Linked DNA regions of Tamandua tetradactyla. Each later gene encodes a partner of the first gene's protein in a complex. Links are inferred from orthologs where the notes say so. Each region holds a gene or a part of one and is shown on either strand. Other genes may lie near its edges.

What was found.
Region 2: the proteins of MIOS (region 1) and SEH1L are in contact, whole or in part, in a cryo-EM structure (PDB 7UHY), measured with the Homo sapiens proteins. The link is inferred for Tamandua tetradactyla from reciprocal best matches to the Homo sapiens genes MIOS and SEH1L. Residues at the interface, in NP_001357005.1 of Homo sapiens: Arg279, Arg316, Ser317, Phe353, Glu354, Arg355, Ile356, Ser357, Leu358, Ala359, Trp360, Pro362, Leu366, Met367, Trp368, Ala369, Cys370, Gly371, Arg372, Leu374, Tyr375, Glu376, Cys377, Thr378, Glu379, Glu380, Glu387, Asp389, Ile390, Ala391; in NP_112493.2 of Homo sapiens: Met1, Phe2, Val3, Ala4, Arg5, Ser6, Ile7, Ala9, His11, Lys12, Asp13, Leu14, Ile15, His16, Asp17, Val18, Phe20, Phe22, His23, Gly24, Arg25, Met27, Trp47, Ser173, Ser174, Ser175, Asn230, Leu231, Gly232, Arg233.
Region 3: the proteins of MIOS (region 1) and CASTOR1 are in contact, whole or in part, in a cryo-EM structure (PDB 9LVK), measured with the Homo sapiens proteins. The link is inferred for Tamandua tetradactyla from reciprocal best matches to the Homo sapiens genes MIOS and CASTOR1. Residues at the interface, in NP_001357005.1 of Homo sapiens: Ala83, Asn84, Val109, Pro110, Lys111, His112, Ala113, Arg114, Asp134, Lys135, His136, Arg137, Asn184; in NP_001032755.1 of Homo sapiens: Val94, Ser116, Thr117, Tyr118, Gln119, Thr120, Asp121, Thr188, Tyr236, Leu255, Thr256, Ser257, Ser258, Ala295, Tyr296.

What each region holds. Positions count from the first base shown.
Region 1 is NC_135327.1:117,442,779-117,453,666, reverse strand, and holds the start of MIOS (GATOR2 complex protein MIOS), read left to right. Parts: upstream 1-6,532; 5' UTR 6,533-6,735; exon of another isoform or gene 6,736-6,845; intron 6,846-10,888. UniProt on the Homo sapiens protein: As a component of the GATOR2 complex, functions as an activator of the amino acid-sensing branch of the mTORC1 signaling pathway. The GATOR2 complex indirectly activates mTORC1 through the inhibition of the GATOR1 subcomplex.
Region 2 is NC_135344.1:76,894,231-76,904,835, reverse strand, and holds the start of SEH1L (nucleoporin SEH1), read right to left. Parts: upstream 4,914-10,605; 5' UTR 4,785-4,913; coding exon 4,674-4,784; intron 2,545-4,673; coding exon 2,494-2,544; intron 621-2,493; coding exon 474-620; intron 1-473. UniProt on the Homo sapiens protein: Component of the Nup107-160 subcomplex of the nuclear pore complex (NPC). The Nup107-160 subcomplex is required for the assembly of a functional NPC.
Region 3 is NC_135331.1:32,612,454-32,622,414, forward strand, and holds the start of CASTOR1 (cytosolic arginine sensor for mTORC1 subunit 1), read left to right. Parts: upstream 1-5,704; 5' UTR 5,705-5,826; coding exon 5,827-5,939; intron 5,940-6,575; coding exon 6,576-6,646; intron 6,647-7,708; exon of another isoform or gene 7,709-7,752; coding exon of another isoform or gene 7,753-7,771; coding exon 7,772-7,965; intron 7,966-8,045; coding exon 8,046-8,178; intron 8,179-8,436; coding exon 8,437-8,560; intron 8,561-9,009; coding exon 9,010-9,123; intron 9,124-9,286; coding exon 9,287-9,369; intron 9,370-9,457; coding exon 9,458-9,552; intron 9,553-9,688; coding exon 9,689-9,757; 3' UTR 9,758-9,961. Other genes in the region: TBC1D10A (TBC1 domain family member 10A), read left to right, coding at 145-259, 334-399, 1,108-1,297, 1,417-1,571, 2,432-2,848. UniProt on the Homo sapiens protein: Functions as an intracellular arginine sensor within the amino acid-sensing branch of the TORC1 signaling pathway. As a homodimer or a heterodimer with CASTOR2, binds and inhibits the GATOR subcomplex GATOR2 and thereby mTORC1.

The DNA.
Region 1 (10,888 bases):
GACAGGCTCTCTTCCTGCTTCGGCTGGCGAGCCTCTCCTGTCAAGTTCATCCAGACCCTCCATCGGAATTGTTGGCTTCACAGCCTGCCCTGCAGATTTCGGACTCTGCGTTCCTGTGGTCACATGAGACACTTTTATAAATTTTATATTTGCGAGTGTTCCCTGTTGATTCTGTTTCTCTAGAGAACTCTAATACATCGATGAATACACAACTATGTGATGATATTGTGACCCATTGATTGTAACCATGTCAAGAATGCTTGTATGTTTGTTTGTTGTTCATAAAAAAAAAAAAAAGACTTACAATATTGAATGTTTAACTCTGGGCTGAGGAGTTTGGATGTTGGTCTACAGGTAAGGCAGATGGCTTGAGCTGTGCTTTAGATCTGTGTGATCAATCTAGTCACACAGAGGAGATGATTAGAGTACTAGTTAAGAATAGGGAACCAGAGGCCTGTTTAGAGACCACTGTCTGGGTGAGTAGTAATTAAGACCTAAATTAGGGCAATGGTTATGGGACCAGAGAGATTGGCAGAATTTTGCCACATCATTTATTTCAAAATCCCAGATGTGATTTACTCAATTCCTGTCCAATGAGGGAAGGAGACCACATAGTAAAATGGCTATGACTATGGTTTAACTCAGATTAACGTTGCATACTTGACATTAAAAAATTGATGGCTGCTGCTTAAGTGCTTCAGTTCCAAAATGCTATAAGTTACCCTGCAGTGAGCAAAGCAGGAAATGTTAGCATCACCAGTGCTGCAGTTATCATCCTAAAACTGCCTAGCTAATAAAGCACCTTGAGCCTTATTATTTCTACCTAAACTCTGTGAGTATAGGCTTATGATGTGTCTATCATTATGGAATTTAGGATCCTAATCTCTCCAACTACGTTCTTTAAAATAACATTCATTCTTATTGTTGTTATTGTTTTCATTATAAGAGTTTAACATCTTTATTTTAGACAATACAGAAAACTGTAATGAAGAAAATAATATTCACTTTTAAACCTACCACACAGAGATATCAACTATTAAACATTTGGTCCCTCTAGTCTTTTTTAAAAAATTAAGTTTATTATGTTTATTCCATTTAGAACTATTCTATTCCTGTAACAATAAAAAATGGGCATTTCCTCTATTTTAAAATATTTTTCTACAAGAGCAAATGAATATAAAATTTTATTGGAACACTGCCATGCCTATTTCTTTATGTATTGTTTAATGGCTGCTTTTGTACTACAATAGCAGAGGTGAGTAGATGTGATAGAGGAGGTATAGCCTGCAAAACAGAAAATATTTTCAATTTGACCCTTTAAAGGAAAAGTTTGCCATGTGTTTTAAAAATTATTTTTAGTGACTACATACAATGATATTAAATGTCTGTTCCATTTGCTAGTGCATGATCCAGTGGTTAAAATCACAGACTCTGGAGTAAGATTGCCTGGGTTCATATCCAAGCTCCACCATCTAAAAGTAGGAGAATCTCAGAGAACTTACTTACTCTTTCTGTGTCTCCGTTTTTCATCTGTAAAATGTGGAAATAATAGTATATTCCTCATGAAGTTGTGATGACGATGTGTTGGACTATGTAATACACATCCCAGATTCCTCTTCAGTAATAAATAATGTATTCCTTCAGCTGCCGGGAATGCTGCCAGCAGATAGCCCTCAGCTGTCAATTCTCTTTGGGGAATGCTGCCTCATTCAAAGTCATACCTTCTTCAAAGGGCAGCTCAAATCCAATAGCACATCTACATCAATGAGGTAATATAAAGGCCTGGGTTTATTGCCCCAACTCGGGACAACTCTGAAGTCAGTCCAGTTCCAGAGCTTCCAGTGGATTGGTTGAGGCCTGTGCTGGTTTAAAAGGATGTATGCCCCATAGAAAAGCCATGTTTTAATCAAAATCCCATTTCATAAAGGTAGAATAATCCCTATTCAACACTGGATGTTTGAAACTATAATCAGATCATCTCCCTGGATGATGTGATTTAGTCAAGAGTGGTTGTTAAGCTCGATTAGGTGACAACATGTCTCCACCCATTTGGGTGGGTCTTGATTGGTTTATTGGAATCCTATAAAAGAGGAAACGTTTTGGAGAATGGGAGATTCAGAGAGAGCCAGAGAAGAATGACATAGCCACGAGAGCCCACAAGCCTGTGACATTTGGAGATGAAGAAGGAAAACGTCTCCCAGGGAGCTTCATGAAACAGGAAGCCAGCAGAGAAAGCTAGCAGATGATGCCTTGCTTGCCATGTGCCCTTCCAGCTGAGAGAGAAACCATGACTGTGTTCACCATGTGCCTTCTCGGATGAGAGAGAGACCCTGAACTTCATTGGCCCTCTTGAACCAAGGTATCTTTCCCTGGATACCTTTGATTGGACATTTCCATAGACTTGTTTTAACTGGGACATTTTCTCAGCCTTAGAACTGTAAAATAGAAACTTCTTAAATTCTCCTTTTTAAAAGCCATGCTTTTTCTGATATATTGCATTCCAGCAACTAGGAAACTAGAATAAGGCCTTTGCTGGAATTTCATCACAGCTCACCTTCTCCCTCTGCCCAATCCTGCTTCTTCTCCTTCCCTTCCATAAAATGTTGATCCCAAGCACACTCCCTAATAAGCATTCTACATCCCAATCTCCATCTTTTAGCCTGGTACCCAGGAAACCCAACCTGAGAGAGTGTTAAATAAGTCTTACACTATAAAATTATCTGGCACATGGCAGATGGTATATAATTATTTGTTAAACAAACAAAAATAATTCAGTGGGAGAAAATAGAATGAAAATACAAGTTCAAGAAGAAAAAAACTGAATAATGTAAACTTTCTGATAATCAAAGAATAGCTTACTCATACATTTTTAAAATGAATGATAGTGGAAATCAACAAATACAATGGTACTTAAATTATTCCTGATACATTTAAAGAGTGGTATAACTATTAATTTAATTTAATTAATTAATTTAAATATTAAAAATTTCATATGTAAACATATTATGACAAATATTAGACGGAATACTAAAAATGTAAGAAAAAGTGCAATTATTTACAAAATTTATTTGGGAATATGCTAGAAAACTTTTGAAGATCACTATTATGGTATCTCAGAATTTCTCGTCCTCGATGTTTGTAAAAATATTACTGCCTTAGCGTCCCAGGACTGCTATTAAAAATAAGTCAATGGGCTGGCTTAAACAAGTATTTATTATTATTTATTTTATTAGTTTTTCAGGCTAGAAGTCCAAAATCGAGATGTCAGCAAGGTCATGATTTCTTCCCAGAGTCTATAGCGTTCTGGGGCTGGTTTGCCACAATCACTAGATTTCCTCAGCTTCCATCTCTGCTTCAGTCACAGGGCAATCTCTCTCTTACTGCATCTGTTCTTCTGGTTTCTGCTGACTTCTGGCTTCTTCCTTTGGCTTTCTCTGACTAACTGCATCTGAATTTCCTCTTTTTATAAGCTTCCAATAATATGGATTAAGGACAACCCCCACCCCAACCCAATTCAATTTGGCCACAATTTAATAATAATATCCTCAAAAGTTCCTTTTTACAGTGGAACACCCTTAGGAACACAGATTAAGATTAAGAATATGTGTTTTACTGGGGTACATAATTTCATCTACCACAATTACCATGTAACATATTTACAGGGCTTTGATTTTGGTTTGATGCCTACTCAGACTCCACCTAAGAAAAAAACTTGCTCTCAGGTTTAGACTGATTTTGCGTATGTGGAAGTAAAGGTAGCTGGGATTAGTCAACCACAGACTTCACAGAACGTCCCAGTAACTGCAGTTCTTCAACTACTATCCTTTACTGGTTTAAAACTACAACAACCCCCCCTACTCCATAAAATAAATGAAGGGGCTTAAAAAGGACAACATCTTAAGAACTCAACAGTTTAATAAATAAATAAATAAATAAAACACTGGGGCTTAACTACAGCAACTCTGATATCTATTACAATATATGTGTTTATAAAGGTAACCAATGTAATCTGAGACCTTTCACTCATTAAATAGTTCTCATTTTGGTTCATGTTTTGTTGTTTTGTTCTGCCATTTCCTAGACAGCAGGAAAAAGAAAAGGAAGTAGATGGTAAACAGCTTCCTTTTTAAGGGATATGATACAGAAATTCTCACAACTTATTGTTCACAACTTTTTGACAGAGTCATGTTTAGCCAGATGGGAGGCCAAGAAAAGTAGCTTCTAGCTGGGTCACCAAGTGCCCTGCCTAAACCTGGAGGTAAAGGAAAAGAATGGAAACTGGGGATGTAGAGTATATATTCCAGAAGGAGATGACAGGTAAATGCAAGTAAAAAGGTGAATATGTATGTGAAATTGTGATGAATGCTTTTCAGAAAATTAAGGGAGAGGGACAGAGGAGTTAACTTATATATAATCAGTGACAACTAAACAGATTTAAATGAAGTGAGAGTGTGAGTCATGCAGATTTCTAGTGGAAGAGCATTCCAGTAGAGGGAGCAGCTAGTGCAGAAGCCCTGAGACAAGAGTACACTTGCCATGCTCAAGAAATAGTAGTCATAGGGACAGAAGGAGAACAAAGGAGAATGGTGACAGAGAAGTAAGTGTAGAAAATATTTCAAGAGAGAAGTGGTCAAGAGTGTCAAAACCTACAAGGGTGAAACCTTGGCCAATGGAATTGATAGTGTGGAAGACATTGGTGACTTTGACAAGGGCAGTTTTGTGGAGCAGTGTAAATGAAAGCTTGAGGAGAGTGAGTTCAAGAGAGATAGGAAGTGGCATTAAAGAGAAGAAGTCTGATCTCCTTTGAGGAGAAAAATGGGAGTGACTTGAAAATGTTTATATTTTAAAGGGAAAGAACCAGTAGAAATGAAGAGATTGAAGACACATAGAAGAGGAGAAAATTGATGGCTAAAGGTCTCAGAAGAGCAGAAATATATGGGGTTCCTACTCTTCCTCGGTCAGCTAGAAGAAGGTAAGAATGGGAGTGAATGAAGATGTTGGAGGAGGGAAAGAGGAAGCAGTATGGGGCTGTGGGAATTCCTATCTAATCGTCAATTTTATTTGTGAAGTAGAAGGCAAAGTCATCTGAGTTTGACGGTAAAGGTTTTGCTCAGGCATGTATGTAGGAGGAGTGGGTAAGGAGGAGTCTTGTATTGATCTGAGTCTTGTATTGTGTGGAGGTTTGGGGCCAGGGCCAAACTATTGAGAGGATTGGCAAGAAAGTGTTGGAGGTGATAACTCCTATGATATTTCCCTTCAATACAGCACCTTCTTCTGCCCTCGCTCCTCCAATGGCAGCAGTGAAAAGGAACCTCAGACCTCCACAGGCAATACTCTCCCCTAATTCATCATTTCTCACCAAAACCATCTGCCTTGAAGATCATCAGAACTAAGTTCATTATGTGTTTACATCAATCACCAAGATGAGCCAAAGGCCATCCACTGTTAAGTATGAACAAACAGGTAAAAATTGTAGACATCTGAAGAAAACCTCTGTGTTGGTCTTGTAACACCTATGGATGCACCAGTATCTGTTAACCAGAACCTGGTCACCATTCAGGACTCCTTTTTTTCCCTCAGTTACTCAGTCATCAAGCCTTTGTTCATTCTGCTTTCTAAATATTTAATTCTCTTCATCCCAGCTAGTTTGGGCCACCATCATTTCTCATTTGCATACTTATCCTTTCCCTCTCCTTGTCGGCTATAACCCCATTCCCATCCAAACTGATTAAATCATACTTGCTTGGTTTAAAACCTTTAATAGCTCCACCACTGCCCTCAGGAAAAAGTCCATCTAAACTCCCTAAACTAGTTTCCAAACATCTTCCTGATGCAGCATCTTAATTTTTCTCCATTTCACCACTTCCGCTACTCACTCTAACCTCAGAACATTCTGTCCTGCTTCTCAATTGCTATATCTTCAGGCTCAGCACTTGCTCTTCCTCCTGCTAAAAAACTCTTCTCTCCATCTCCCTCTGCCCTCGTCCTTTCCTGGCTGATCCCATATTTACCCTTCATTTCTTTGCCTAGTGGTGCCTCGAGGAAGCTTTCCTGAATCCCCAACACTGAGGGGCGCTCTTCCGGTGCAGCATTGTGCCAGCCCTATTCAGGCGCCACTCAAATAGTCAGTTTTCTGCAGGGACCATGTCTATTTTTGTTCACTCCAGTACCCCTAGCATTTCCTAACAGTACAGAACAGACGCCCAAGACACGCTAGTGGAATGAATGAACGAGTTGACCAAGTGTTGAATCAAATACCTTGGACTTTCAACTACATCGCCCACAATAAATTTCTAATAAAAACTAAAATTTGTTGAACGTGCTTAAGTGTGTGAGTTGATTTTGAAATCGATAAAAAGGGGCTCTGGGGTGCAATCCAAGTCCAAGACTCCCAGTTTCCACCGGCGGGCTCTACGGGCGGGACAGGGCCTGCAGGGAAGGCAGGGGCGCTCGGCCAGAAGGCGGGGCCTCCCAGGCAGCGGCTCCGCCCCGCCTAAGGGCGGGGCGATTCCCTGGGCGAGGGTGGGGCGGGACTCGTGCGTCGAGAACCCACCTTCCGAGGCCCAGGCGTGGTTGGCGCGGCCTCGAGATGCGGCTTTGGTCTCGTGAACCCTGGCCGTGTGGCCCCGGTTACTAGCCGCGCCGCCGCCATCTTGCCCGCGTGCCGGCTCCCGCGGCGGGAGGGGCGGCGACCAGCCCGGAAGTGGCTGTGCAGCGGCCCCGCTGCCACCTCAGGTCAGTGAGTGCGGCCCGGGCCACTTGTCCGCGCTTCCAGCGGTGAGGCCGGGGGCGAAGGCTCGGGAGCTCCGGCCGCCGTGACGGGCTTGGATAAACCCATTTGAACGGTGCGGGCGCTTGAGCTCCGGGGATTTGCGTTCCCCTCTGCGGGATAACCACGCTGGGCCTCAGGGGGCCGGGGGCTGCGAGCGGCCAGAGGGCGCGCGGGGACCTCCTCGGGGGCGCGGCGGGCTGCACTTCAGCCTGCGCCTCGGCGGGTTTGTTCAGAACCGCGTCGCCGCCTTTGACTAGAGACTGAGCCAGGTGTCTGGAGCGTGGGAGTCTCCTCAGAGTGTTGGTTTACCCGGAATATTAACAAGCCCTGCTCCAGTGTACACTATTAAATACTTCTTAAAGGGCCTACCACCCGGGCATTTAGCTCTGATCTCTTCAAATACGAGTAATTAAAATTTCTTAAGATGACGAGTAAAGCCAGTCGCGTATGCCATGGGCATTGCTACATTTCTTAACAAATGACTGCAGTTGCAGGCCTTTTGTATAATTACATTTTAAGGGAAAATTTGAATTTGTATAGTGCAGATCCATGAAGCTGGTGGGGGTGGGAATTTGAAACTTGCTGTTGTAATATGCCGTGGTAAGAAAGAAAGAAGAAAAAAAGGATGTGAAAGGTTGATTGGCTAACTTTGTTCGCTTAGTATTATAGATCGTCACTGTCCAATTAGCCACGTGGGGCTGAGAGAGTTTGCAGTGTAAAATACACATTGGATTTCCAAGTCTTGGTACAAAAAAAATAGAAATTCTCAATAATGTTTATGTTGATTAAATGCTGAAAGGATAATATGTTTTATATATTGGGTTAAATAAAATATATGTTTTAAATGAATTGTATCTATTTTTGCTTTATTTGATGTGGCTGCTAGCAAGTTTTAAATTATACGACTCTCACTGTTTTAGTTGCACAATGCTGTAGTAGATGTTCTGATGATGACCATGGAATCGGCATGGCTTTCTTTTGCTCAGAAACTGTTGATGGGAAGTGAACACTCGTTAAACTTTGAAGGTGAAAGTATAAAAATATAAGCCCTATTTTAGGTGAACTCCACTTCCTCAACCTCCAAGTTTTCAATGTCTTTAAAATTTGAACACATTAACTTCTGTGATAACATCTGTGTGATGTGAAGAGCTCATTTCATTGTTGTGACTACTTAAAAATGTAAGTAGGAAAGGTTGATTCTATCAGTTCGTGTCTTGGAATTTAGGGGTCTTGTCAAAGTTTTAGTTTCAGAGTAACTAGAGGTCTTCTCATTACAGGTTCAATTTTCTTTGTTCTACACTGAATTCCTAGCTGTCTTCATTCATGAATGAAGATTCATCTATGTTGTGTGTTGGATTGTGAAGAAATGCCTGTGTTAAGAGGGTCATTATAGAAGCACTTCTTTATACCATGTCAGCTTCGTGGTGCGCAACCTGGACAGCCTCATAGGGTTCCACCCTTAGAAGGGAATCGTGCTTGATTTAATGCTCTGCTTTTGGCATGTTGAAATACTTAATAGTCTTCCAGCAAGGGGTCCCTGCATTTTCATTTTTACTGGGCTTGGCACATTATATAGCTGATTCTGTCTCTGATGTGTAAGAGCCAAAATATGCTGGTCTTCACCCTATTCCTACATGAACCGAGGGTGTGCCAATCTCTCCCTCTCAAGTTCTGTTTTGTACAGGTTACTATTATCAAATTTGGTTGATGGTAATATCGTAAGTATATAACGTCAGAAGAAATTCTGGTGATTCTCCATTGAGAGTCATGTAAATTAAATAGTTTTAAAAATTACAGTGACACTTTCTGTTTGTGTTTTGTAAGAGGAGATTTTTCCATGGCATCAAGTTTTCATACCGCATTTTTTTAAACTTTTTTTTTTTAATTGGAGAAGTTGTAGGTTAACAGAAAAATCATACCGAGAGTCTCCATTTAACCCCCCTCATGCACAGTTTTCTCTATTAACATTTTACATTAATGTGGCACCTTTGTTACAGTTGATGAAACAATATTGTAATTATACTATTTACCACAATCTATAGTTCACCTTAGTGTTCACATTAGTGTTCACTGTTTGTGTTATATGGTTTTATGGCTTTTTTTAATTTTTTATTCGGGGAATATATTACAACCCAAAATTTTCCCTTATAACCACGTTCAAAATGTATAATTTAGTGATGTTAAATACATTCACAATATTGTACTACCATCATGACCAAACATTACCAAAATTTTTCCATACTCCCATCCAGAAACGCTTTACTGATTAAGCATGACTTCCCCATTCCCAGCTCCCACCCCGACCCTGGTAACCTGCACTGTAGTTTAAAAATTCCATAAATTTGCTTATTCTAGGTATTTCATTTAAGCTAAATCATATACTATTTGTACATCTGTTTCTAGCTTATTTCACTCGACATGACGTGTTCAAGGTTCGTCCTTGTTATACCATGAACCAGAATTTCATTCCTTTTTACAACTATCTAATGTTCCACTATAATGGATAAACATACCATATTTTGTTTAATCATTCATCTGCTGATGGACACTTGTGTTGCTTCCATCTTTTGGCAATTGTGAATAATGCTGCTTTGAACATCAGTGTGAAAAGATATCTTAGAGTACCTGCATTCAATTCTTGGGGTATATACCTAGAAGTGGAATTGCTGAATCATATGGTATTTCTAAACTTAACTTTCTGAGGATCCACCAGACTATTTTCCACAGCGGCTGCATTATTTTACATTCCTACCAACAATGAATGACTCTTCCTGTTTCTCCACATTCTCTCCAACACTTCTTTTCTGTTGTTGTTTTTTTTTAATAGTAGCCATTCTAGGGGATGGGAAATAGGCAGTTTGTGGTTTTGATTTGCATTTCCCTAATGGCTAATGATAATAAGCATCTTTTCATCTATTTATTGACTATTTATATATCTTTGAAGAAATGTTCAAATCTTTTGCCTGTTTTTAAATTGGGCTGTTTGTCTTCTCATTTTTGTGTTGTAGGATTTCTTTATATATTCTAGATCTTGAATCATTATTAGTTATTTCCACATTTTTTTACCATTATGCAAATTATCTTTCTATTTCCATGATAAACTCCTTTCATGCACAAAAGTTTTAAATTTTGATGGAGTACCGTTTATCTATTTTTTTCCCTTATTGCTTGTGTTTTGGGTATAATATCTAAAAAGCCATTCCCTAACACAATGTTTCCCTGTTTTTCTCTAGTAGTTTTATAGTTTTGGTTCTTTTATTTAAGTCTCTGATCCATTTTAGGTTAATCTTTGTATATGGCATGAGGTAGGGGTCCACCTTCATTCTTTTGTATATGGATATCCAGTTTCCTCAGCACCATTTATGGAAGAGACTATTCTTTGGCCATGAGGTAGACTTAGGGCCCATTTCAAAAATCAGTTGTCCATAGATGAGAGAGTTTATTTTTCTGAACCCTCAATTCTGTTACTCTATATGTCTGTCCTTGTGCCAACACCACACCATTTTGATTATGGTAGCTTTGTAATGAGTTTTAAAGTCGGGAAATGTGAGTCCTCCAAATATGTTCTTTTCCAGGATGGTTTCAGCTGTTTGGGATCTCATACCCTTCCATATAATATAATCACTGGCTTTTCCTTTTTTGCAAAGAAGGCTGTTAGAATTTTAACTGGAATTGAGTTGAATTTGTATATGCTTTGGTAGAATTGACATTTTAATAATATTCTTCCAGTCCATGAACATGGAATATCCTTCTATTTGATTTCTTACAGCAGTGTTTTTTAATTTTCCGTGTAAAAGCCCTTTATGTCCTTAGTTAATTTGTATCCTAGATATTTGATTCATCTAGTTGCTTTTGTAAATGGAAATTTTTCTTAATTTCCTCTTCAGATTGTTCATTATTAGTGTATAGAAACACTACTGCATTTTGTGTATTGGTCTTGTACCCCCATCCCTTTGCCAAATCCTTTTGTTAACTCTACTAGTTTTGTTGTGGATTTTTCAGGACTTTCTACGTATAGGATCATGTCACCTGCAAATAGTGAATGTTTTACTTCTTCCTTTATTTCTTTTTCTTGCGTGGTTGCTCTGACTAGAACTTCTAGTTCAATTTTAAATA
Region 2 (10,605 bases), on another chromosome or scaffold:
AGCAAATATGCAATCAGGGCAGAGTGAGAATTTAAAAGCAGATGCAGACAGGGGCACAGCTGGTTCAGTGGTAGGACGCTCGCCTTCCGAGGGAGACCCGGGTTCGATTCTCAGATCACGCAATGCTCCCCCTTCCCCGCAAAAAAAAAAAAAAAATTGGTGCAGATAAAGGAAAATATTATAAGAAAACAAAATTAACTCCTTTTAAAGGACTTTAGAGGGCACTCTAAAACCAAGCAACTGCTCTGGAGTCACCATGAGTCATAGGAAACAACTCCACAGGCGCCACTGAGGACCCCTTCAGGCCCAACACAAAAATAAGCAGGCAAGTAGGAGAAAAATGGGAAGACAAAGACGGAAATGGTAAATATAACGGGGAATAGTGACATGTCACCAAGCATCCAAGATATATTGCAAGGACTGACAGCCATGGCTGCAGCATCTGCCCCACCACCCACAAGCGAATGTCTTACCCAGTGACTCTGTCCTCGCAGTTTGTCATTCGATTCTCCTACTATTTCTTCCCAGACAGCCGCTGTTCGATCAAAGGAACAGGAAGCTAAAACCTGTCCAAACTCAGGGTGGGCCCACGTCACACGCCACACAGATCCACTATGTGTCTGAGGAATGAAAATAAGATATTCAATACAATAGGGCTTTTCTTTCCCTTTACAAAACCTTATAGTTCACACATATTTCATACAGGTTTTACCTGAGGAAACAGAATACAGACTTTTCTGGCTTCGATCAGAGCAAGCTATTTAATTTAACAGTTAAAAACTTAAATTCTAGCATGTTTAACCTTTAGAAGATATTCTATATTTAGAATTCTGGGGTTTCTTGAGTCAAGTTCTCCTAACATTTCGCTAATAAAGAAAGATCCAACTTGATAAAGTGGACTACGTCTGGTGCCGAAAGTTGGAGGCTTCGAGTTGCAACAGTGACTTAGAGTCCCAAGCACATTCAGGCACCAGGACCCAAGACCAGAGGGTCCAAAGGTGCGGCCCTAGCCACCAGCATGTGGGCACATGTAAGAAGCAGCCCCCGAGAAGCCAGAGCAGCCCACAGAAAACTACCAGCAAGCTGTGAGCACTCTCAGCCTGTTCCATACTTGCTGGTACACCTAAATGAAAAAACCAGGTATTTTTGAATATTAACTCCATCTGACTCTGTGGGTTGGGATCCCTAACACAGAAGTTACCAGAGGCAAAAAAGCTACATGAAAAGGGGGAACTGAACAGCTGTGAAGCAGGGCTGACACTGGACAAAGATGCCCACTGTCACCACAGTACTGGAAGTTCTAGCCAGTGCACTTAGGCAAGAAAAAGAAATAACAAACATCCAAATTGGAAAGAAAGAAGTAAAACTTTCACTATTTGCAGATGGCATGATCCTATATATAAAAAGTCCTGAACAATCTAGATCAAAGCTACTAGGGCTAATAAATTCAGCAAAATCACAGGGTAGGAAATCAGCACAAAAAATCAGTAGTGTTTTGAAATGTCAGTAATGAGCAATCTGAGGAGGAAATCAAGAAAAAAATGCCAGTTGCAATACCAACTAAAATAAATTATTTAGAAATAAATTTAACGAAGGATGTAAAAAACTTGTACACACACAAAAAAACTACAAAACAATGCTAAATCACTTCCACTTAAGTGGAAGGACATTCTGTGTTCATGAACTAGAAAACTAAATATCATTAAGGGGTCAATTCCACCCAAAATGATTTACAAATTCAACACAATTTCAATCAAAATTCTAACAGCCTACTTTGCAGAAGTGGAAAGGCCAATTATCAAATTTACTTGGAAGGATAAGGGGCCCCATATGGCCCATGCCACCCTGAAAAAGAACGAGTTGGAGGACTCACACTTTCTGACTTTAAAACAATACAAAGCTACAGTGGTCAAAACAGCATCGTACTGGCTCAAGGATATTGACCAATGAAATCAAATTGAAAGTTTAGAAATAGAACCTCACATCTTTGACCAAATTATTTTTGACAAGGCTGCCAAGTCCACTGAATTGGCAATGTAATTAACACCACTGAATTGTACATTTGAAAAGGGAGAAATATGGAAATTTTACGTTGTACATAAGTTACCATACAGAAATCCACACACTAAGGAAAAGTGTTAACACAGGGAAACATGTGTGTGAGGAGAGTATGAAGGAACTCTGTATTTTCTGCATGATTTCTCTGTACACCTACAAATGCTCTAATAAAATATGTGTGTGTACAGGAAAAAAGGGAACAAAGGAATATGCTGAAGTGCTAAGAAAAACTATACTGAAATGTTACAGAATTATAAATTTCTTACTGTTCAATTTTATGAAATGCATTTGTGTTACTTTAACAGGTAAAAAAATGCATAGCATCTTTTCAGGAAATGAATTATAAATTCTCTCTAGGAAGAACAGCGAGTCATTGATACTATCAAATAGTAAACATTTCAATTTTCCTCAATCACCATAGAAATAAATACTAACCTTCCAGCTAGCAGTACAATGCCAATCTCCACTTTCACTTTTATCCCAGACCTGTAAGAAAATAAAATGCAGATAGTTTATAGAAAAATTCCTACAAATTAAGACTAGAAACCAGTACACAGGAAAAGGATGTGAAAAAAAAATTCACAAAAGAATACGTGTATGCAAGCATTCATTCATTCAATGAGATATTTACTGAGAACCTCGGCTGTGTCAGGAACTGGGCTATGCACTGAGCCTCAGACAGCTCAAGCTCTAGTATGCAATGCAGACAATGTACATCATACACAATAAATATTACAGCAGAACACTGGACTTAACAAACAACAAAAAATATATAGATTTCAATAACAAGGGGCCACTTTAACCTATTAAAAATGATTTTGCCCAACAGTCTATGAAGCTTTTAAATCAGTAATCTTACTGGCAGTGTAAAATGGTACAACCTAAAAAAGATGATTTGCCAACTCTTTTCAAAAGCCCAAAACAGTCACTAATTTTTATCCAGAACTAGCCTAAGGAAATTACCCAAAATATTTAAAAGCTAAGTTAATGTAGATTTTCATTGCAACATTCTTTCTGAGAAAGAAAACCTACCCACTGAAAGATCTACTGAAGGATCAGGTAATAAGTGAATAATGAAAAAATAACAGCCTATTTAGTTAGACATTAATTGAGCCATTGGGAATAATGATCATGCAATAATGGGGGAAAATATACTTTTGCATGAAAAAGTTACACATTTACCTATATTTACTACCATGACAGTTATTAAAAACATTATAGGAAAAGGCCAAGAAATCACTAAATCTCAACGAGTGATAAGTGACCAGTAAGCCTATAAATAATTTCTCCTCCTAAAAAGAAAAAGTATATTACTTGCACAACTTAATACAAATGTGTGTTGTGTGTGTGTAGATAAATAAATAGAGCCCTTCGGTAAGAAAAAGTACACTGGAAAAAATGGACATAAGGTCACAAAGTAATGAAACACTACCGAAATATATACACCTGCAATTCAATATAATTCCCACCTAAAAACTCTTTCAAGGAAAAACATCATTCTTATGCAATCTCTTTATAAACCAGTAAAACTGATCCCAAGTTGTCATATAGACTACAAATTCATTATTTAACTAATATCTGCAGATTATTCATGTAGGTCAATTTATGACGATTATATATGAGAAATGTTTCCCCAAAAGGTCTACTACATAGTTAATCCATTAACAATCTTTAAAAATGGTTGTGAACCTTTCGAAAGCTGTAATTGGATGGATTTGGCGGTACTTTTTTCAAAAAAGTAAAATTGCTATAATTTTATCTTTCAGACCACTGGTAACAAACTTCAGTGTGAAAAGCAAGAAGGAAAACCCTGCCTTTGGAATAGTGGAGAATATAAATAATCCACACTCCAGCTTCCTTCTTCAGATTTACTATCACACCCCGATAACTCCTATCAGATTCCCTAAATCCCAAATACGATCCGCATATTATAAAAAGTCAGAATAGTGCTTTACAAACATGCCAATTCCTACAGAGTACAGAACTACATCGAATTTTTCTTTCACCGCGAAAAATATGAAGTTCCTTTTCCCACCACAAATAGGGAACTGTCTGCCCAAGTGAGGATTACGCAGCTAAAACTCGAACCATGGAAAATACTTTCCTCCAAGTCCCTCGCCCAGCCCTCTCATTGAACAAATTCGGTGGATTAGGCCACCTACTGCCAGGTACTCCTCAGACTGACACGCCGCTATGAGGTACTCGACCCTAACGCTAGCAAGTAACTCTGTCTACACACTGGCGCGAGGCTCAGAGGCCGGAGGACTGCCGGGAGGAGGCGGGAGCACCCACGTGGCCAGGATGCCCCGCCCAATCCGCCAGCCCCGCCCACTCAGCCAGCCGATCCGCGCAGGCGCACAGGGAGCGCGCCCCACGGGGCAGCCGGGACCCCGCAATGCGACCGACCGTGGAGCCCTATGTTGGGCAGATGGCGGCCGCAGGCCAGGGAGGGTCTATCCGCCTCCCCTGGGCTCCAAGTCCCGAGCGCGGAGGCCCGCCAGGGAGTCGGGAAGCCCTCCACGCGACAAGTCGCCGCCCCAACGTCTCCCTGCTCGGACCCCGGGGCTCACGCCCGCTCCCAGCGCCCCCTCCTCGGGCATCGCCTCCGTGCGCACCTTGACGCTCTGGTCGCTGGAGCAGGTCGCCATCCGCCGCCCGTGGAAGTCGAAAGACACATCATGGATGAGATCTTTGTGATCCGCCGCGATGCTGCGAGCCACGAACATCGCGCCCGCCGGGCCCGCGCCTACCGCGCTGGCCCTATGCGCCCCCCAGGAAAGACCCCGCGCATTAGCGCGTGCGGACGCGCCACCCGCCGAGGTCCCGACGCCTCGCGCGCTCCCGCCGCAGACGCGCGCAAAGTGCGCGTGCTGCTGCGCGCCACCGCGCCCCGCCCCTCACCCCGGCATGCCCCGCGAACGCCGTAGGGCGTCGCTGCGTCTTCGCCTGGGCCACACCCCGCCCTTCGGCCCCAGCGTGCCCGGGGAACTCCGCCGGAACTTCCGCGTCTGCGCTCTGGGCTAGGCACGCCCCTCGGCCCCAGCATGCCTTGCGTGCGCTGCTACAGCTTCCGGGTCTGCGTCCCTGAATCAGACCTGTAGAAGTCGTGGTCGGAGGTTCCTGCGACTTCCAGGGACGCGTCTTATTTTGTTTTACATAATAAGAGCTCCTTGTTGAAGATCTGGAAATTAAGGAAGATGAGAAAGATAAAATACAGTGCATAGTCCTCCACCCTGAGTCAATGCCCGTCCACATTTCGGCGTTTCCTCCCAGAAACGTGCTAGGAAGATTCCCCGGAGATTCGGTCCCAGTGAAGCTTTGCTGGAGCAGGACGGGGTGCAGAGGTGCTGGAAGAGGCGGGCCGAGGCGTCCGCCTTAACAGCTGAGACGTGAAGCAGGAAGGTTAAGAGGGTCGAGGAGCAGGTGTAGTGAGAGGGAGCGTGAAGGCGGAAAGGGTCGGAAGTAGGAAGTAGGCAGAGATACTTGAATTTACTATACCGGAGACCCGGGTTCGATTCCCGGTGTCTGCCCGTGCAGAACGTGTGTGTGTGTTTAAATTTAAAACCTCGGGTAGTGCAAGTTGGGGGCGGTAGCAGAACGTGTGTGTGTGTGTGTGTATTTGAATTTAAAACCTCGGGTAGAGCAGGTTGGGGGCGGTAGTAAGACCCAAGAAGGAGAAGATGAGATCTTTAGAAATTCGGGTTCGTGGGGTGGAAACAAATTACTTACGCAGTTTGCAGGATCCAAAGTGAATTGGAGGACTTTCGACCCTGGAGCCAGAGTCCTCAACGGAAAAACAAGGGAAATGAGCAAAACGCCCCATAAGAAGAGGAAGCCTTGAACCAACAAGTGGAGGAACATTTTTACAAAGAGTTTAAAGATTTAGGGGATTTTTTCATTCAGGGAGAGGCATTGCAGAGGGAATACGGTAACATTAATTAAGAAAGGAAACATTGGAAGATTGGGTCAAGGGAGAGAAAGTCCAGGGGAAAAAAAATCGAAAACGAGTCCGCGGAAGGGGCTTGTATTTTGGATTATGGCCAGGGATGACAAGAATTCGAGGCTTGATGAGATCAGCAGGAGAGAAAGTTTTCAAAACACTTAGTCCCAGCTGTTCCCTGATGGATTTCACTGAAAGCTGCAAAGGGAGGCAGGGAGATGATCTAGACATTCTGGAATTTTCTTTATGAGACTTTTTTTAGAGTTACATAGTATAAGACTAAATGTTTATTGTAAGACATTTGTTAAACCACACGTGTATATAGAGTAAAAATTAAAGTTCCTTTTCACCCCAGGATCTATCCTCCCTTGCATAGGATAACCATTATTACTGTGTACTCTTGCACACTTTTTCTGTGGTTTTGCATATAGCTACCTAGTACTAGCATATGAGATAACTAGTACACAGAAATGTTGAAATGTCATTGGATTTTTTTAAATTGATACTTTGTCTATTTTTGCTTTTTAAAAAGTATCCAATAGGGCGGGCCACTGTAGTTCCGCAGGCAAGAATGCTCACCTGCCATGCCCGAGGACCTGGTACCTGCCCATGTAAAAAAAAAAGGTATCCAATAAATCTTGGAGAACTTTCCACGTGGGTCTAATTCATTCTTTCAGTCTTTTACCTATGCATTCCAAATTAAGGCTGAATTGTGGTTTATTTAAACATTCCTTTGCTAATGGGCAAGCATGTAAAGATCACTGTAGGCATGATTCATTTATTCATTCAGGTAGACGTGTGCTTCATTAGAGTTCTGAAGTTTTTCTTAATATAGTTTTGCATGTTTCTCATTTGCTCTATTAAAACTTTATAATTTTCCTGGCCATGTGTCTGGGCTCTGTCTTCCTATCTTGCTTATAAGGAACCTGTTAAATCTCATATGTTCATTTTGTGTTTGTTCCCTTATAGAAGTCTTAGTTCTCTTAGCTTCTACATTTATTCTTTTGGGTATTTAGATAAATAAGTATATTAGCTGCAAGTAATGACATAGATATTTTGTATCCCTCACTGTCCAATCAAGAAAACGATATGTACTCTAGCTATTTCAAACAGGAAATTTAACACAGGAAAATGGTTACAAATGTATTGGAAGGGCTAAGTAGGCAAAAAGGGAACAGGTGAGGTTATCCAGAGTGTAGTAACTGCAGGAAACTTCTTAGGGCTGGAACAGAGGGAAAATAGTTTTACCCAGGGCCTGCCGTCACTGAACCTCTGAGATTACTGATGTTGGAATCTTCATCACTGTCCTAGGAAGCCAGCAGCAGAGTTGTCCAGCTAATGCGGCAGGCATCTAACAGTGGCAACAGCTGAAGGAGCCGGTGCCCACGAGCTCTGGGCAGCTGAGGATCCTAGATCCTCTGCAGCTGCTCCTGCAACTCTTAGGATTCCACTGCTTCCACAGGAAGCAGGATAGCCAGGCTGACCCATTGCCACCACAGCTGCAGCTGAGATGTCACCACAGAAAGGGGGGAAAAGATTTCTCTCTTTCTCCTCCATTCCAGTAGCAACGTCTGGTTGAATAATAGTTGTAATCATGCTTCTCTTGTTCCTGATGTTAATGAAACTGCTTCTAATGTGGCATAACTTTTCAAAAGGTTGGATTTCTATTTCAAGCTTGCTAGGAATCTTCATTAGGTATTAGTGTTTATCTCTTTTTTCTTATCAATACATTAATAAATTTCTGAATGCTAAACCATTATTGTTTTAATACACTGCTAGTGATTCACTAATATTTAGAATTTTTGCTTCGATATTTTAAAAATATTTTTGGTATATATTTTGCATATACATTTGCATGCGTGCTGTTCTTGTCCTTTTATGGTTTCTGTATTATTTTAACCAGGCACAAGAGATTAGGAAATTTTCATATTTTCTCTCCTCTGGAACAGTTCAAATGACATGGGAATTACTATTCTGTGAACATTTTGAAATTATATCCATAGAATTATATAAGCGTCATGCCTTGCTGTTAAGGAGGTTATTGATTTTAACTAAAGTTCAAATGTATTTTGTTATTGGTCTTCAGATTTTCTACCTTTTCTCAAGTCAATATTGATCATCTTTATTTTTCTTTAAAAAATCATTTATACACCATCAAGTTATACATGATAATTTCTTATAATTTTTTAAAAATCCCCTCCATGTCTGATGTAATGCTTTTTTGTTGTTTACTTTGCTTCTGTCTTCCTTTTTTTTCTTAATGTTTTAAACTTTTTATTGAAGGTATTATATACTTTCCAAAAAGTGCCCATGTTATAAGTTTACAGCTCACAGAGCTTCCCACAGAATGAACCCAGAAGCTCTCCTTGTGCTTCCTTCTGGTCAAAGAGAACCAAAGATAACTTCTATCCTGGTTTCTAGCAGCATAGATTAGTTTCACCTAGTTTTATCCTTTATGTAAATGAAATTGTACAGTATATGCTCTTTTTTTCCCTGGCTTTTTCCACTCTGTATTTAGGAGATTCATCCCTATTTTGCAAATGTTCACCCATCAACTTACTGATGAGCATAAGATTAAGTTCCAGTCTACATCTGTTAAGAATAGTGTTGCTGTGAACATTCTGGTACCCGTCTTATGGTGAGCGTAAATGTGCTGTTTTCTTGGACATAATGCCTAGGACAGTAATTGCCAGATTATCGAGGATGCACATATTCATATTTAGTAGATACTGGCAACAATTTTTCCAGAGTGGTTGAACCACTTTACAGCATCCTAGCAGTGTGTGATCGCTCCTATGTCTTCACAGTCTCAGCAACATTTGATATTTGTCATCTTTTCATTTTAGTCATTCTGGTGGTTGCATCATGACATCTCACTGTGTTTTTTATTTGCACTTCTTCATTTTTTTCCCAGAGGTTTGCTTGTTATATTAGTATTGATAAGTTGGATGCTACTGACCAAGTCTCCTAGTTTTTCCTTTCCTATTTCATTCATGTCCATTTTACCTTTATTGGTACTAGTACTTTCTTCAGATATTTATAGTTTTCCTACTTTGTTTTGCTTTCAATCTTATTTCCTAGGAATATCAAACTTGTATATTTTCCTCTGAGGAAATGAATAGCAATCTTTGCTATTCATTTCTGAAGTGTGTCATTTGAGTTCTTGTTTGCTATTTAGCTCCATACTTATTTAGAAAATGTGTTTTCACAAGTGGAAGTTTTCCCTCTTTTGGCTGTTGCTTTTCTGTAGCTGTAGTGTGGATTTGCCTGTACCACAGAGAGTGCACAAGAGGACAGGGGCCAGCCCTGAGGACGCTAGTCCGGTGACATTGTCTACGGCAGCCAGTTAGGAAGCATAAAATTTACTGGCCAAACACAACAAGCAAACTCACCACCGTCCCCCTGTCTACATGGGACATGACTCCCAGGGGTGTGGACCTTCCTGGCAGCATGGGACAGAAATCCGAGAATGAACTCGGACTCAGCATCAAGGGATTGAGAAAAACCCTAGAATGAGCTGAGACCCAGCATCAAGGGATTGAGGAAATCCTCTTGAGCAAAAGGGGGAAGAGTGAAATGAGACAGTGTCAATGGCTGAGAGATTCCAAACAGAGTCCAGAGGTCATCCTGGAGGTTATTCTTATGCATTAAGTAGATATCACCTTGTTATTCAAGATGTAGTGGAGAGGCTGGAGAGAACTGCCTGAAAATGTAGAGCTGTGTTCCAGTAGCCATGTTTCTTGAGGATGATTGTATAATGGTGTAGCTTTCACAGTGTGACTGTGTGATTGTGAAAACCTTGTGTCTGATGCTCCTTTTATCTACCTTATCAACAGATGAGTAGAACATATGGAATAAAAATAAATAATAGGGGGAACAAATGTTAAAATAAATTTAGTTGGAAATGCTAGTGATCAATGAAAGGGAGGGGTAAGGGGTATGGTGTGTATGGTTTTTTTTTTCTGTTTGCGTTTTATTTTTCTGTTGTCTTTTTGTTTCTTTTTCTGAATTGATGTAAATGTTCTAAGAAATGATCATGATGATGAATCTGCAGCTATGTGATGATATTGTGAATTACTGATTGTATATGTAGAATGGAATGATCACGTATTGGGAATGTTTGTGTTTCCTGTAAATTTTTTTAATGTATAAAAAAAATTTTTTTTTAATTTACTGGCCAAAATGCAATTCCCTTTAAGTTTAGAAAAGTTTTGTTTTGTTTTGTTTTCTGCTGCTCGCATGTGTCAACACGCCAGGGGCCAGAGCTGGTGCTGCAGGCCTAACTAACCATCTGCAAGGTCTAGAGAGTGGCCAGTAGGGGGCATCACAACATTTTACATCAAACTTTCAAATGCCCTGTAACTGTGCAGATTCCTGGGTGTGAGCGACAACTGAAATTTAATATTTGGTGCTCTAGGACAGAACAGACAGCATATTGTTACTTTTGAAATGAAATCTGTATATTGTTAGTTTCTAAAATTCAACGCTGATTGGCTCAATACATTTGGAGTGCCCAGGACTAGAGGCCTCCGCAGAGCGGTAGGTCAGGGGATGTGCTCTGGGTCCCACACGCCAGAGTCCACAGTGAGGGGCTGAGGTCTACCCCC
Region 3 (9,961 bases), on another chromosome or scaffold:
AACCCCACGGTGACCATGAGCAGGTCACCTTCCCTTTCCAGGGAGGTGCAAATTTTGAGACAGGCCTGGTCTGGTGGAGTACAAGTGAGGGCAGTGAGTGGCAGAGTCACACCTGTCATCCCTCTCCACTTGGTCTCTCCACAGCCAGCAGGACCTGTTCCGTGTGCTGAAGGCCTACACATTGTACCGACCTGAGGAGGGCTACTGTCAGGCCCAAGCACCCATTGCTGCTGTGCTGCTCATGCACATGCCTGCTGAGGTACCACCAGGCCCCTGGGTGGGCAGGCAGGGAGCATCTGACAGCAAGACCTCACCTGTCTCTCTCACCCACAGCAAGCCTTCTGGTGCCTTGTGCAGATCTGTGAGAAGTACCTTCCTGGCTACTACAGCGAGAAACTGGTGAGTGTTTGCCTAGCCAAGGACTTCTACCAGGCTGGATGCTCTCTGGCCCCCTCCAAAGGCCCTTCTCTCCACAGCCACTCCTGTCCCAGGTGAAAATCTTCCCAGCCTTCTGTCACTTTCAGGCTGAAGTCCCAAGGCCTTCCTGGGTCAGGGCTCTGAATCTCCAGCTTCGTCGGCTCCACATTCTCCTCCATCTCTGCCTCCGGCCACTCTGGCCACACAGGCAAGATTGCAGTTCCTCCCGCACACCAAGTTCCTTCCTGCCTCAAGGCCTTGGCATGGGCTGTTTCCTTTGCCTGGAACCTCCTTTTCCCCCTCCTCCATCTCCTTACCCTGACAACTCCACCTTTCCCTCCGCTTCAGTCCTCAGGGAGCTTCCCTTGACCTCTGGCAGGGACCCTCCAGCACATGCTTGCCCAGTAGCATTCCTGGTCCTGCCTTGTTCTGGGCACTTAGCCCCATTCTTCCCCTGCCCTAAGTCTCTTTGCTCATGTGATTCATGTGTGCCTTTCTCATTTCCATGGGGAGCAGAGGTGGTGGTGGTGCTGTTGCAGCTAGATCTAGTTTGCTCATCTTAGCATCCCCAGCATCCAGCAAGAGGTGGGTACTCTGCCAGCAGGTAGTAAAGGCCAGAGGCATGAGAAGTCTCTGCTCTGGCTGCAGTGAGCCCACAGTCATGGCCCTGTGGCCTCTTTGTCCCTCCAGGAGGCCATCCAGCTAGACGGGGAGATCCTTTTCTCACTGCTGCAGAAAGTATCTCCTGTGGCCCACAAGCACCTCAGCCGGCAGAAGATTGACCCACTGCTCTACATGACGGAGTGGTTCATGTGTGCCTTTGCCCGCACCCTACCCTGGAGCTCTGTACTGCGTGTCTGGGACATGTTCTTTTGTGAAGGTACTGGGCTGGGCTGGGGGAAGCACGCCTGTCCTCAGCCCAAGCCACAGTGGGGGGCCTTGGTTTCTGAAGAAACCCTGAGAAGACCCCTTGTGCTCATCCACCCACCCATCCTGCAGGAGTCAAGATTATCTTCCGGGTAGGGCTGGTGCTGCTGAAGCATGCGCTGGGCTCTCCTGAGAAGCTAAAAGCCTGCCAGGGCCAGTATGAGACGATCGAGCAGCTGCGGAGCCTCAGCCCCAAGATCATGCAGGAGGCCTTCCTGGTTCAGGAGGTGCGGCCCCCACCTTCCCCTTATAACTGGGAGGGAGGATGGATCCTTTGGGGAGCATGGCAACCCTCTGCCCCTGAGGGCAGGTCACCCATGCTGGGCATGGTGCTTAGCAACCCCAGGACAGGAGGTAGACCTTCTTAACATTCTCATTCTGTCTGCATGAGGAGAGGGGCACACAGAAGCCTAGGTGTGGGACCTTCCTGACCAAGGAAGTGGTTGTCTTGTTATTCTGAATCAATTGGGAATGTAGAAGAGGAAGCTGTGGCCTGTCATCTTCCCTCTTCCTCCCTGGTACCATATTCATGGCATTGGCTGTTTTTTTTTTTTTTTCCTTGTGGAGTTTTGTCCTATAGGGGTTGCAGTGAGATAGGTAACAGCTGTGTGGGGCAGAGACAGAAAAGCAGCTTTGTACTTTTGCACTCACTGTTCCCAACAGCTGGTGAGAGCTGTGGCATTATTAGGGGCAGGACCACAAAGTGATTCCCCCAAAGTCATCCAGCTAGAGGTAGTAGAGCTGAAATTAGAGACTAGGTAGGGGCTCATGTGAGCAGTGAAGAGGACATTTTGGCCAAGAGCAAATGTGCTCTGGCTGATCACTTACCTTACTGGCTCCCATGGATTCAGACAAGTGGAATCACAGGTTGGGCAGCTTTCTCTTCTGAGGCAGTGGGTCTTAAGTACCTGTTCACCTGGCACTCAGTTCTCGGACTTGTGACAACCACAGGGACCAGACTCCATTCTGCCTGGGTCAGCTTTCATGGCCGGGGCTAGGAATGCAGAGGGAGAGCCCAGGCCCAGGCAAGGAGGCAGAAGGGAAGATTTTGCTCCCTGGTGACAACCTGCCTGTCACTGCCCCACAGGTGGTGGAGTTACCTGTGACCGAGCGCCAGATTGAGCGGGAGCATCTCATCCAGCTGAGGCGCTGGCAGGAGACACGTGGTGAGCTGCAGAGCCACTCCCTGCCCAGACTGCATGGTGCCAAGGCCATCCTGGAGGCAGAGCCGGGCCCCCGGCCAGCCCTGCAGCCCTCACCATCCATTCGCCTGCCCCTGGATGCCCCCCTCCCCAGCTCCAAAACCAAGTCCAAGCCTCTCAAGCAGGTCCAGAAGGAGCAGCAGAAGCAATCGAAGGCAAGTGGGCAGCTGGACAAGCCTCCGGCCCCAAGTAAAACCGAGGTGGCAGCTGCTGCAGGGGATGCATGCCCCCCACAGGACTTGGCCCACCACCACTCCCAGGAGAGCCTGACGTCCCAGGAGAGTGAAGACACCTACTTGTAACACTGCAGTCCGCCCTCCGGGGTGGGGTCTCCTCACATCTACATGGCTCATGGACTGACACTCCAGGGACTGCCCACCCTTGGAGGCACAACCACTTGGCCGCTGGGCCGCTTGGAATCTGGCTGGCCCAGTACATATTCTGCCTGAGCCTTCTTATTTATTTTCTCTAGAGTAGAGCTCAGGCTGAAACAGCCAGGGCAGACGTAAGTGAGAGCTAAGTGGATGGGGCCTTATTCAGCCCTCTCCTCTTGAGGGGAGAAGGTAGGCTGAAGGGTAGGGTGCTCTTTGTGTAAAATAGGAACATGGTTTTGTACAGAAATAAATAGGCTTGTGTAGAGTGCTGGTGTACAGCTAGGAACTAGGAGGGGATAACCACCTGGTGCCCAGAATCTCCGGTCCACAACCTACAGAGCCCCCTTCCAGCCCAGTACCAGGTGCCCCTCCGAGGGGCACTTATGCCACAGGGGTTGCCAAGTCTAGGGCTAGCCCCTGTTCTTGGGCCCCATTTCCCCCATCCCATTTCCTTGGCCCATGCCCATCAGCTGCCATGGAAGAAGGGCACAGGCGCTGGAACCCAGGCTGGGGCAGAGCAAGGCCAGTATCCCAGCCATGGTCCTTTCCCATCACCAAGAGAGAGGAGTCTCCTTAAGGAGGCAGCTTCAGGGTCCTTCTCCAAGGCCCAGTCTGGGCATCATTTCAGGCTCCAGTGAAGTTCTGAGTACTCACTCAGGCACTGGTGTCAGGATTGGAGTCCCTGAATGTCCTCATGTGCTCAGGCCAGGCCTCCATCGAGGCAGGGGACTGAGGAGAGAAGTCTGAGTCCTTGTTGAGAAGTCTGGGTCCTCTAGTTGACTGAGCACCCACCATGTGCCAAGCTGGGCATGTTGGGCCACAGACCTGAATGGTTTATCCTCACTGCAGCCTTTCCAGGTAAGCTAGTATTATCCCCATGTTACAGATTAGGAAGCAGGATCTGAGTGGAAAAGGAACCTTCCCCCCAAGGAGGGAAGCAGGGCCAGATTTGCCCCCAGAGCCCCTCCATTGCCTCTCTTGACCAGGGTCACAAGGTAACCTATCTCTGCCACTGGCCCAAGCAGACTCTACGGTCACAGCCTGACAGCTGGCTAGGGTGAGGGCAAGGACAGAGTGTCCCTGGGAGAGGTCTCCCTTCTGCTGAGGAAGCAGCTTTCCCAGTCAAACAATAGCGACTGTTCCTGGCTGTTGACCAGACTGAGCCTAGTGGTGGGGAAGGAGGGAGGGAGCAGGAGAGGGAGGGGTAGGGCCTCCCTGTGAGCTTTCAGGCATCAGAGGGCCCTGGGTGTGGAACATGTTGTCCTGTTACAGCTGGGGATACTGAGGCTTAGGGAGGTCAAGGGTCACACAGGTCTATTGGGCAGACCACCCACTTCCTCCTTCCCACCCATTTTCCCTGTGGTTTCCTACCCCATCTGCACCTGCCGTTGATGAGATTGGGGTTCCCAGTCTTTGAGCAACACCCCTCCTCCCCCAGTCCTCCAGGGGACACAGATCAGGATGTGGTGGCTACACAGCGTTCCGCAGGAACTGCCTGTGCTGGAAAATCTGGGCAGAGAGAGCTTAGCTTTACTTCTATCTGCCTATAATGGTGGCTCCAGATAAGGCAGGAGGCCTGCTCAGGCCTGCTGAGCCTCAGACAGGCCTGCTTTAACCTAATTGGTTCAAAGCTTCTTCAGGACTGATTCTCAAACTGCTCAGATATGAGGCCTGAGGATGCTCAGCCCTGTCCCAAGGCCAGCCGAGGTATGCTGATGCCTGCTCAGCTCTGGGGTCTTCTTAGGTCTGAGGAAGCATGAGCAGAACCCAGTCCTAAGGTTGAAATGAGTTCAGGTTGACCCTAACAAGCCCCAGACTGTGGCATCTGAAGGTCCCCTTTGGTCCTGATGCCAGGTGGGATGTGCTCAGGCCAGTTGAGTTTTGCTGATGAGCACAGGCTTTGGGAGGCCTCAGTAGGGTCCAGATCTCAGTCCTGAGTGCCCAGTGAGTCTAACCCCTTAAGTCTGAGCCTTGGGCATTGTTGGCCAACACTTCTGGATTTCGGTAGTCGTGAGGGCCCTTAGGCCTGGGTCACCTTCCACCCCCTGCTCAGTAGATTGTTGCACAGGGCCCTCCCCTTCTCTACGACCACTGCTGGGGAACATTCTGCTCTGAAAGCTGGATAAGAGGAACAGTTGTAGGGATATCCCAACCAGTCTAGGTTTCTTATCAGCGCGTTCACCAGACTCACAAAGTAGGGAGGGCTATGTATCACTAAGGATCCTCAGCAACCCTTGCTGATGGGACGAAGTGTGTCACCCCCCGCCCCGGCCAGTACTGGCGATCCTACATCCTGCCGACCGATGAGAGGAAGGTGGGAAAAAAGGAGACGCAGACATTTTTTGGAGGGAGGGAGTCGCAGGATTGCTCCGGCTGCACAGCAGATCGCTGTTTCGCCATGTCCCAGGGGGTCGCAGAGCGCTCCGGTCCCAGACGAATCCCGGTTTGCCTCAGTGGGTTCAACCGTAAAACCCATTTTCAGGCTCCAGGGGCACGAAAGACATCAACCTTTGAGGCGCTGCCGTCCCCGGCGAGGCGGGTGTCCAGCGGAAAGGGCGGGGCCTGGAGAGGGGGCGCGGCGGGCAGGGGCGGTGTTTGGAGGGGTGGAGTGAGCCCGGAGCCAAAGCTAAAGGGGCGGAGCCAGCCAAGACCGGGTCCGTCCGGCTGGAAGAAGCCGGGGAAGATGCTGGCGTATGAGGGGGCGTGACCACTCCGGATAGGGCGCCCGTCGAGCGAGGCGTGGCCGTCAGGGGCGGGGCGGGGCGAGTCCGAAGCTCCGCAGGCGGCGTGGATGCTACAGGGCAGCGGCTCCTTTAAACCGTCCCGCCCCGCAGTCCCGCCCCGGCGTCCTGCCCCGGAGCGGCCTGGGTCTGGCTAGGAGCGGGGTCTGCTCGGCGTGGACTGTGATGGAGCTGCACATCCTAGAGCACCGGGTGCGGGTGTTGAGCCTTGCCCGTCCGGGTCTTTGGCTCTACACTCATCCACTCATCAAACTGCTGTTCCTGCCCCACCGCAGCCGGTGCGCGCCCGGGTTCTGGGGCTCAGATCGGGGCGGAGGGGCTTTGCTGTCGCTCCGGGCCAGGGTCGGGAGCCTTAGGACAGACGCGGGGCGGGCGGGAGCAGGCGTGGTGGGAGCCCTCCCTCTCCGGCCGCTATCCGGCCTGGGCCTACCCTCCCCGGGACCGCCGCCTATCCGGCCCCAGGAGGCCCCCCTCCCAGGGCCATTCAAGACGCAAACAGCCTGTGGTGGGCAATGCTTAACCTCGGGGTCAGATGGGGACACCTCTTCTTGGCGACTGCGGGGAGCTTCTTCCAGAAACCTCATATTGGGTCAGGGGACTGTCCTACAGGGCCCAAGGTCCGACGTCCCCAGGGGCTGTTGCCGTGGGCTGGAGCCTCTCCTTCTGGAATGAATGCGAGGGGAGTGAGTGAAGAGGCCGGGGAGGGTGTCCTGAAGGAGGTCGGGAGGCATAAAACAGTGTGCGATCTCAGAGATGGCGCTCACATCCCATTGCCCCGGGAAGGAAACTGAGGCCAGAGCGGGGCGCCCGGCGAGGGCTCTGTTTTAGGCGATTACAGCCAAGTTCACCAGGAGCTGGCCACTCCAGGCTGAAGGCGTCCTTCCTCCCCTCTCCCCTGCTTATCCCCCAACCAGGTGCAAGTTCTTCAGCCTGACAGAGACCCCGGAGGATTACACGCTTATGGTGGACGAAGAGGGCTTCAAAGGTGGGGACTGGGCTGAGAGGGGAAGCCCAGGAAAGGGATCCTGGCACTCTCCTCTCTGCAGGGTTCTCACAGGAGCTGGGGGCTTGAAAGCAGATGGATCTGGATTTAGATTAGTCCTTACCACTCACCAGCTGTGTGCCCTGAGCAAGTCACTTCCCCTCTCTGAGCCTGTTTCCTCTTATGTAAAGTAGATGTAGTTATGTTTTGGACTTTATAATCTGGGCTGTGTGTGAGGGGCATTTAGCAGCCTCAGCCCAGGAGCTGCAGTAGGCCCTCAGTTACAGTTCTGGGCAAGAATCCGGTTCCTGCAGCTGTTATAACCTCCCCCCTGGACTTTTCTCCCTGGTACAGGTCACCCCCTCCCCCGCTGGTCTGGGAACTCCAGGAGACAGGGTTGGGGAAGGAATGCAGGATCAGGCAGCTCCCAGGGCGGGTCCTGGGAGCCTCTTGGCTGTGCTTGGGTGATTAGCAGCCACCCCCAGCCTGGCCCCTGCTCTGGACTGGATGCCAGCCTGGTCCCTCCCAGCACCCTGGAGCTGATGTCTGGTTCCCACTCTTGTCAGCCTGGCCCAACCTCACAGGCCTGGAGTCCACCGGGACCAGCCAACTTAAATTTGACTTATCCCCCACTGCTGGGCTTCAGGCCTTTGTTTCCCTGTCTGTAATGTAGGGAAGCCAGGGTCTGCGGAGGGGCAAGGTCTCTTCCGGGCTAGCCTGACCTGCTGGCGACCCCTGGTGGTGCCAGGTGGTATAAAGCCTCTGTTAACCTACAGGACCCTCTCGTGTGTAGGCACTATTCTCCCATTTCACAGATAAGGAAAATGAGGCACAGAGAGGTTAAATATCTTAATTCCAGGTCTCACAGCAAGTAAATGGTGACGTAGGATTTGAACCCAGGCCCCATCTGAATCTGGAGCTCTCGTTTTAATTGGGAAGTTCTAATCCACTGTGGGCCAGCACCTGAAATGGTTTTCAGTAATAGCATATATGTGGATCTCAAATGCAGAACTTGGGGGGTGGGGAGGGCAGCCCCAGTCTCCAGACCTGCCCTTACCTTGGCAGGGCTCTCCAAGGCACAGACAGGGAAACTGAGACCCTGACCGGGCATGTGCCCCCTGCCTGCAGAGCTGCCCCCCTCTGAATTCCTACAAGTTGCTGAAGCCACATGGCTGGTGCTGAACGTCTCATCTCACAGCAATGCAGCCACGGCGGTGCAGGCTGCTGGGGTCACCAAAATTGCCCGCTCGGTCATCACCCCGCTGGCCGAGCACCATGTCTCCGTGCTAATGCTGTCCACTTACCAGACGGACTTTATCCTGGTGAGTTTCCCACAGGTGCCCAGTAGGGTGGGCAGTGGTGCCCAGGGACCTGCATGATGTGCCGTCTCCTCGTGGCCCAGGTGCGGGAGCAGGACCTGTCCATGGTGATCCACACGCTGGCCCAGGAGTTCAACATTTACCGCGAGGTGGGCGGAGAGCCTGTGCCCATAGCCAGGGACGATTCCAGCAATGGCTTTCCCCGTGCCCAGCATGGTGAGGGCTTGAGGGTCACCCCCTGACACCCAAACCCTGCTGGGGCCCCTTCCCTTGGGCAGGTGGGTCTGTGGGCATGGGGAGACCAGCAGGCGTTGTCCGCTTCACCAGATGGGGAGACTGAGGCTGGGGGAATCCAGGCCTGTGTGCCTGGAGAGCACGACTCCAAGCCAGGCCCCGGCTCCTCCCTGACCGGCCACCAGGGGGCGCCCCAGCCCACAGACATCTGTTGACAGCTGCTGGGTCCCTCCTGAGCAGGGCCCAGCCCCACGGTGCATCCCATCCAGAGCCCGCAGAACCGTTTCTGTGTCCTCACCCTGGATCCCGAGACTCTGCCAGCCATCGCCACTACCCTCATTGACGTCCTCTTCTACTCACACAGGTGGGCCCCCGGCTGCCTTTCCCCCCTCGGTTCTCCAACCACTATTTCCTGTGCTCTGAGCCACCACCTTCCACCCAACCCCTCGGTGCTGTCAATCCATGCCCTATTCTATGTAGCGGTGTTCCAGGAACCAGGGACACCCGAGTGCCCTCACTGACATTTAGGGGAGCCTCTCCTGCTGCAATAGCAGAACCATCCCCTAGCCCGGGCACTGCTTAGGCACCCCCTGTTCCCAGGGTCCTTTGTCTTTGGCAAAGGCAGGGCTCGTTGTCCTTTCCCTGCACCTTGAGGAGGTCAGGGCTGTTGGAAAGGATAACGTAGTAGCCCAGATCCAGAGGGGCCTGCTCAGGGGGACCCAGAGCCAGCCCCTTCCCAGGGCTGGGGATTGGGAAGAGATGGGAGTGGGCTGTGTGCCCAGCAGAGCCCCTGAGCCTCCTGTCCCTCCCCAGTGCCCCAAAGGAGGCAGCCTCTGGCGGCCCCGAACCCAGCTCCATCCCCTTCTTTGCCTTCTCCCTCATTGAGGGTTATATCTCCATCGTCATGGATGCTGAGACGCAGAAAAAGTATGTGACCCCCAACCTTGGGCAGGCCACAGACCCGGGGAGGGAGGGGGCAGGGCGTTACACTCTGAGGTCACCAGGCTGTCCTGCCTCAGGGGCTCCGAGTGGGCTGGGAGGGGCTGGGGTGGGGTGCCCTGCCCACTGCCTGCCTGCCTTCCCTCCCCAGGTTCCCCAGCGACCTCCTGCTGACCAGCTCCTCCGGGGAGCTTTGGAGGATGGTACGCATCGGTGGACAGCCCCTGGGTTTCGGTGAGGGCCACTCCACGCATGTTGGGGGGTTGGGAAGGGCCTGTGGGGAAAGCAAGGTGACTCACGTGTGCCCCTCCGCACCCCTCAGATGAATGCGGGATTGTTGCCCAGATCGCGGGTCCCCTGGCTGCAGCCGACATCTCTGCCTATTACATTAGCACTTTCAACTTTGACCATGCCCTGGTGAGCACCGGGGGCTGGGGAGGTGGGGGCAGGGTGGGGGGAGACACGGGGAGCCATCAGCTGGGCCAGCAGTTCGCACCAGCTCTGGCCAGGGTCAGCCCTCCGTGACCCCTCCCTCCTGCTCACCTGCTTGCAGGTACCTGAGGACGGTATCAGCAGTGTCATCGAGGTTCTCCAGCGACGGCAGGAGGCCCTGGGCTCCTGAGCCCCTGCAGGAACAGGGCAGGGCCTGCTCTCCTTCCTTACCCCCAGACTTCTGGGGGCTTCTCTAAGCTATTTCCTTAAGCTTTAGGACGAGCCCCTCATTCCTACCTAGGGGTCCCCTCGTTCCACTCTCTGTAAGCTGCGTGTAGGCACCGGACACCTGTGTGCACCCACATGTGGGGTGGGCAGGTGCTGCCCTGACCTT